Tribolium castaneum: one gene and its partner. The protein of the gene in region 2 interacts with the protein of the main gene of each other region in a pairwise test. Links are inferred from orthologs where the notes say so. Each region holds a gene or a part of one and is shown on either strand. Other genes may lie near its edges. The genes, in order: RapGAP1 and Galphao.

Region 1 (3,830 bases), on a different chromosome or scaffold from region 2:
TGTTGTTTTTCGAGATTTTTGCGAACAAACGAATAAAAACGTCACATTTAAAGGGTTCAAATCAATGGTTACCAGACATTCTAACTAATACTAAGGATCCGGCTCGAAGGACCAAAAAATGTTGTTTTTCGCGATTTTTGCAAAAAAATTGAAAATAAGTGTGCTTACCTTGTGTTGGGCGTGTTGGGCTCGACCACCTGCACTACGATGAACGCGTGCAAGAAGTGCGACGCTATCATATCTGGCGAAAAGGGCGTGTTCTCCTCTTGGAAAACGATCGCCACGATGTCGTTGCCTATGTGCCTCTTCCGCTGCAACTGTTGGGGGTCGCTTTCCGTGTAGGGCAGCAAGGTGGAGACATGAAACATGATTTCGCGGTCTTTGAACACTTCGTAAACCGCTTGATCCCCCGTGTGCCCGTTCTGGATGTCCAGGCCGCCTCTGTATCCCTTGTGATCCTTGAGCTGTATCCTCTGCCCGAGCAGCGCAAGGAAATCGTCAAAGGCGGGACTGGTGATGTTATTACAGAACAGCTCCTCTTCCGTCGTCTGCCCGAACTTCTGGTACATGACGCCGAATTTGAAGTTCGTAACGAGGACATGCTCGTCGTAGTTGGCGATGAGTTGGGAAGCTTTCGGGTGCAACACCGGGACGAAGTTGTCGATGTTGAGCTGTTCGTTGAGGAGTTTCGCCATGCGGGCCGGGCTGGGGCTGTCGCCGAGACAGGAGGAGGGCACGATCTCGTGCATGGTCCCGGTGCGCATCCGGAGGAGGATCCGGGTGTGCTCCTGGTTGGCCACGTTCTCGGTTTTTATCGACAGGAGGACAGGGCCCAAGGTCTCGTCGTTGCCGATCAGGGATGTGTGCTCCTGGAATTTTTGGACAATTGAAAAATTTTATTACGGCTAGTGTACGGGTTACTAAAGGTTAGGATACGAAACGGCGTCCAATTAAAACGTCCCCGTCCTCAATAGTTACGGTAATTACGCCAGAGAGCGCAATTGTTGCATTACCGCCTAATTTTTCAGAAGAAATAGTTGTATTTGTATAACGGTTAACACATAACAAACAAAAAATACAGGCAGATAGAGTATTAAATTCTCGATAGGAAGACATAAATATAATAAATATCGTAAACTATGTTTAAAAAAATTTCAAACTTTTACCAATTTGGTCACTGCTCCATATTTTTAAAGATGGTTTTATACGCAAAATGAGCCGCTGAATTCAATGGAACAAACCGCATTGCTCTACGACTTTTAGTTTTTGAGTTATGAATTTTTTTTGGTAAATAAAATTTTTCGTTATAGATATTGCCTATCTTAATTTTTAGCAAAAAACTTTAAACGTTTACATCTTGTTAAAAAATGGTTTTATACGCAAAATGAGCCGCTGAATTCAATGGAACAAACCGCATTGCTCTTCGATTTTTAGTTTTGGAGTTATGAATTTTTTGGTAAATAAAATTTTTCATTATAGATATTGCCTATCTTAATTTTTAGCAAAAAACTTTAAAAGTTTACATCTTGTTAAAAGACGGTTTTTATACGCAAAATGAGCCGCTGAATTCAATGAAACAAACCGCATTGTTCTATGACTTTTAGTTTTTGAGTTATGAATTTTTTTTTTAAATAAAATTTTTCACTATAGATATTGCCTATCTCAATTTTTAGCAAAAAACTTTAAAAGTTTACATCTTGTTAAAAGATGGTTTTATACGCAAAATGAGCCGCTGAATTCAATGGAACAAACCGCATTGCTCTTCGATTTTTAGTTTTTGAGTTATGAATTTTTTTGGTAAATAAAATTTTTCACTATAGATATTGCCTATCTTAATTTTTAGCAAAAAACTTTAAAAGTTTACATCTTGTTAAAAGACGGTTTTATACGCAAAATGAGCCGCTGAATTCAATGAAACAAACCGCATTGTTCTATGACTTTTAGTTTTTAAGTTATGAATTTTTTTTGGTAAATAAAATTTTTCACTATACATATTGCCTATCTCAATTTTTAGCAAAAAACTTTAAAAGTTTACATCTTGTTAAAAAATGGTTTTATACGCAAAATGAGCCGCTGAATTCAATGGAACAAACCGCATTGCTCTACGACTTTTAGTTTTTGAGTTATGAATTTTTTTTGGTAAATAAAATTTTTCATTATAGATAGATATTGCCTATCTTAATTTTTAGCAAAAAACTTTAAAAGTTTACATCTTGTTAAAAAATGGTTTTATACACAAAATGAGCCGCTGAATTCAATGGAACAAACCGCATTGCTCTACGACTTTTATTTTTTGAGTTATGAATTTTTTTTGGTAAATAAAATTTTTCACTATAGATATTGCCTATCTTAATTTTTAGCAAAAAACTTTAAAAGTTTACATCTTGTTAAAAAACGGTTTTATACGCAAAATGAGCCGCTGAATTCAATGGAACAAACCGTATTGCTCTACGACTTTTAGTTTTTGAGTTATGAATTTTTTTTTGGTAAATAAAATTTTTCGCTATAGATATTGCCTATCTTAATTTTTAACAAAAAACTTTAAAAGTTTACATCCTGTTAATAGATGGTTTTATACGCAAAATGAGCCGCTGAATTCAATGGAACAAACCGCATTGCTCTTCGATTTTTAGTTTTTGGGTTATGAATTTTTTTGGTAAATAAAATTTTTCACTATAGATATTGCCTATCTTCATTTTTAGCAAAAAAACTTTAAAAGTTTACATCTTGTTAAAAAATGGTTTTATACGCAGATGAGCCGCTGAATTCAATGGAACAAACCGCATTGCTCTACGACTTTTAGTTTTTAAGTTATGAATTTTTTTTCGTAAATAAAATTTTTCACTATAGATATTGCCTATCTTCATTTTTAGCAAAAAAACTTTAAAAGTTTACATCTTGTTAAAAAATGGTTTAATACGCAAAATGAGCCGCTGAATTCAATGGAACAAACCGCATTGCTCTACGACTTTTAGTTTTTAAGTTATGAATTTTTTTTCGTAAATAAAATTTTTCACTATAGATATTGCCTATCTTCATTTTTAGCAAAAAAACTTTAAAAGTTTACATCTTGTTAAAAAATGGTTTTATACGCAAAATGAGCCGCTGAATTCAATGGAACAAACCGCATTGCTCTACGACTTTTAGTTTTTGAGTTATGAATTTTTTTTTGGTAAATAAATTTTTAGTAGTTCCTGAAGCTCAGCCATTTTGAAAATAATTTAATTGAACTCGGAATGATAGATTTGGATCGTATACAAAATTTTAAAGCCCTAGTTTTATTAGAAATTAAAAAGTTTCTAATGTAGGCCATAAAAGAATCACCCTGTATAGAATAAAGCGCAAATTTGAAGTAAATATTTTTTCTCATGTTTCTCGTGTAATTTTCTGTACCTTTTTCCGAGTAATTATTTAATTTAATATTTTTGGGTACGGAAAATTGTGCGATTTTGTGTCCCGTTTCGCCTCCTAACCCACAGCCCTCCGTAGTCTTGTGATAAAACTTGTGCTTGAGGTTGGGCGCCTCTTGCCGTTGTTATTTTTCCGAGAGACTTTCGCGCCCACGCCTAGTTCTTATTATTGTGAGTCTATTGTTGGTAGAATTATGAGGAACAATGACGCGGTTTCTTGTCAAGTCGCGATGCTGCGACACCCCCGTGGAAATTTATAATTGGGATTGGGTGTGAAAACGCTCAGCGTTTTTTACCAAATGATGGATTTGTTGGGGCGGGAACGGCAAGTTGTTAACTTGGACGTAGACAATGACGGGTTTAAAGAGATAATATAGGAGAACACACCCACGAATAGTGAAAGTGCGATGGTTTTTTCCT
Region 2 (3,830 bases):
CTAAATCGACTAAAATAACAATTTTTGTTTAAAAACGGCAAAAAGGGGTCAAATTACAAATAATAGTATAAAAAACTCGTTTCATAAGACCTTAGAGCACTTATTCTTTCAAAAACTGAATTCGTGCTTTGGTCTTATGAAACTAGTTTTTTAATATACTATTATTTAACTAGTTTGAGTGTAAATCGGACGTTTTATTTCACGAATGAATTATCAAACCACGAGTCAAAATGAGTGGTTTATCATCTACGAGATGAAATGAGTGAACCGATTTACAAGAAAAAGAGTCGAATACGACATTTTATTCTTCGAATTAGACTCAACAAGGCTTAAAATTGCTTTAAATCTGTTAAAATATTCTGACGTTTCGTGTCGAGAAATGCCAAACAGTTATCAAAACTGTTTTACACAGGAGAAAAACCGGAAATTTTGACAGTATCGATGAATAAATAATTTATAACAGCTAATTTTGAGAGAAAATGCGACGTTGGCGTTTTTATAGCTTTGAAACAGCTAATATTTTGTTTTTACGGAAAGGAAAGCAAAATTATCAGCAGAACTTATCGTTTATTCAATGAGAAATGTTTCTTTGTTAAACTCTACAAAAATATCTGTGGCTAGTAAGGAATTTCCGACATTGTCAAAAGTCAAAGTAAATAAATCAACATAACTTGAAAATTGTCATAAATGGATATTAATAGATATCTGAAGTAGTAAAATAAAAATTGAGGCATTCCATTTGAAAAAATTGCCTTATAGCTTGTTGAAGTTGTGCAAAAATAACATTAAAATTTTGGAGTTCGTAAACTTTTTTTCTAATTTTGAACACACTGAAGGAAAGATATAGGCTTTCTGTTTTGATTTTTCGAAAACGTTTTTTAAAATTCTAAAAATAGCAGAATTGACGATTTTTTAAGTGAAAGGTGCAAAAACAAAAATTTACAAAGATTTTTAAATATTTCGAAAAACGCTAAATTTAGTTATTGGAAAATCTGACGAAAGTAAAAAACATATCTTTAAAATAAGAAAGTTAATACGGACTTCCAACGGCTTAGGGTGTGCACCAATTTTCAGATTTATATAATTATCAGAACTTTCTGTACTTCTAATGTACGGTTCAGACGGAACAGTCTGTATAGTAACAAACAAATCTGTGTTACTAACTTCGTTTACTGGAGTATTATAGCAAGCTTTTTTTTGTTTCGGGTTAATGTTAAACGAGACCACTTGCGGATTAAGTCAAAGTTTATTTTAAAGTGCACGTTCATTCACCGTAGCCAAAAAGGGCAGGCTTCAATGACCTTGTTACCTGTTGCTGATCGAATATAAAATGTGAATTTCGCCAACAGATCGATGGTAAAATGGTTTTCGACGTTATCCAAAGGATGGAAGACACGGAACCTTTTTCCGAAGAACTCCTCGCCGCCATGAAGCGGTTATGGGCTGATTCGGGGGTTCAAGAATGTTTCGGTCGTTCCAACGAATACCAACTGAACGATTCCGCTAAATAGTAAGCAAAAATCGACCATTCAGGGTAAGGTATTACCCACGACGTTTTTTTTCCAGTTTCCTGGACGATCTGGACCGATTAGGTGCCAAAGACTATCAACCTACGGAACAGGACATCCTCCGCACAAGAGTCAAAACGACGGGGATCGTCGAAGTGCATTTCTCGTTTAAAAACCTCAATTTCAAGTGAGTTTGTTGGCGATTTTTAATAAACACGAAAGTAAATGAAAAAAGTTTTTCCTTGTGTTTCTATTAATAAAGAGCTGAAAGAGCGAAGCCTATTTTATAAGTTGTCGTGGGTTTTCCCACGTAAAAACAACCGTTTGCAAAAGTTTCCATTGCACAAAGTCTTTTGAAATATTAAATGGCTACGTTTTTAGCATCTGCTGCAGCAACTCATTTCCAGAGCCTCTTTCATTGTGACTCACGGAATTAAATGTGCTTGAATTCAAAGAACCTTTTATGTGTCGCAGTGAAGTAAATACATCGTGTAATTTACTTTTACAGATTATTCGATGTGGGTGGTCAGAGGTCAGAAAGAAAGAAGTGGATTCACTGTTTCGAAGACGTGACGGCAATTATTTTCTGCGTAGCGATGAGCGAATATGATCAAGTCCTGCACGAGGATGAAACGACAGTGAGTATTCACAGAAAAAAGTTTTGGCGCCCTTATTTAATAAATAAAATAAATAAACACTATCTAATGTCACTCCAAAAAAGAAGCAAGTGGGTTATCAGAAAAGTTTGTAGTTTTAGTAACAAAGTACCAAAACTAAACGTTTCAAGGAAAATAACAAATAAAATTTATAACCACAATTTAAAAAAATCAAATTTTTACGTATACAACTTTGCTGATAAGTTCTTTAAACAATAATTTTTAGTAAAATTAGAACATATTGTAGATGTCTGTACTAAACAAACTAATATCTGTGCTAATTTTCCAAATTATGAAAAAAATGGGTCCCAAATTAAATAAAAAAGTTGAATATAATCCATTTTTTTTAAATCGCCAGCAGCGTCATAAAGAAAAATTCTACACCGGCTGCCGTTGTTTAAAAATTACCCTGTATTTGTGTTCTGAACTCAGTTTAGTAAATTCACCAATTAATTTTGCAGTGTCTCTTTTATCTTTTTTTTTTCATTTTTTGTTGATTCACTGTTTATCTTTCTTCTCACATCACAATTATATATTTTGAAATATATTTTCAACTAATTCACTATGCGCGCAAAAATAAATAGTACTTGCTTTTACCTAACAACGAATTTTTATAAGCAGGTGAAATTAAAATGCGCGAAACCCTGTAGTTGCGGAACCAAATTTTATTTAGTAATTAAAAACTTTAGGTGTAAATGAAAGTTTCATATTGTATAAGTAGGTACTAAGTAGTTTGATTTTTTTGTGTTTTTTAGTGATTACTAAGAGAGGACACAAAAACCTTTCGTCGCATTTTATTAAATGACGAATTTTGGATTGCAATGCAAAAGACTACATTTTGGATTGGCGAAGATTTTTGCAGAAGTTTTTGATTTAAAGTTCATTTAGGGTCGGTTTATAGAAAGTTTTGTTAAAATTTAATTCGCTGTTAAAAGTTAACAACACGAATGGACCAATCAAATTTGTTCAATTTGGTCACATGATCAATTAATCACGCATTTATTTGCAGATTAAATTAATGGCGCTTTTATAAACTAACCATAAGTGTCAGAAGTTAGTAAGCGTTTTCAAAGTTGCAAAATGAGATTTGCAATTTGAACAACGATAATTGCTGAATGGTTTATTTAATGAGGGGAACTGACAACGGTTTTTTTATAGACCGACATGTGAAACAGTTCTAGTAATTTTAAAAAAGATATTAAAATGATAATAGAATTTCGGTTTTTGTTTTATTTTGAAAAAAATGCCATTAAACAAATTAAAGTGTATTACACAAAAATACAGACTAGGTACCGACAGCAATTTTAGAAAATGTTGAATGTGAAAGCATTAGTCATATGAAGACCATCCTCGAAATATATAATACTTATAGATTTCTTTATCATTTTTCAATTTTTAATAAAAAAGAGTGACGAAAATGCAGACAAATCATAGACAAATTAAATAAGAATGTCTTGTTGCACAGCATTTGATGAAGAAACTGAAAATGTATTACTGTGCTAATTTTGAAAGTAAAGCTGAAGATTAATTTAGATTTCAAATTAATTACAGAAAATTTAAACCCAACAACTTTTTTCGGTATATAAACTTTTTTTTCATTAAAATTTATTCGTCTGTCAGTGAGTTTAATGATTGGACACATGGTATTGATATATCTATCCTCAGG

Evidence for each region.
Region 1: the proteins of Galphao (region 2) and RapGAP1 interact in a two-hybrid assay, tested with the Caenorhabditis elegans proteins (2 studies listed by BioGRID). The link is inferred for Tribolium castaneum from reciprocal best matches to the Caenorhabditis elegans genes goa-1 and F53A10.2.

What each region holds. Positions count from the first base shown.
Region 1 is NC_087399.1:7,382,806-7,386,635, forward strand, and holds part of RapGAP1 (rap1 GTPase-activating protein 1), read right to left. Parts: intron 870-3,830; coding exon 169-869; intron 1-168.
Region 2 is NC_087396.1:19,006,510-19,010,339, forward strand, and holds part of Galphao (guanine nucleotide-binding protein G(o) subunit alpha), read left to right. Parts: intron 1-1,349; coding exon 1,350-1,510; intron 1,511-1,566; coding exon 1,567-1,695; intron 1,696-2,016; coding exon 2,017-2,146; intron 2,147-3,830. UniProt on the Caenorhabditis elegans protein: Guanine nucleotide-binding proteins (G proteins) are involved as modulators or transducers in various transmembrane signaling systems. In the 1-cell embryo, probably together with gpa-16, controls nuclear rotation and spindle elongation during mitosis.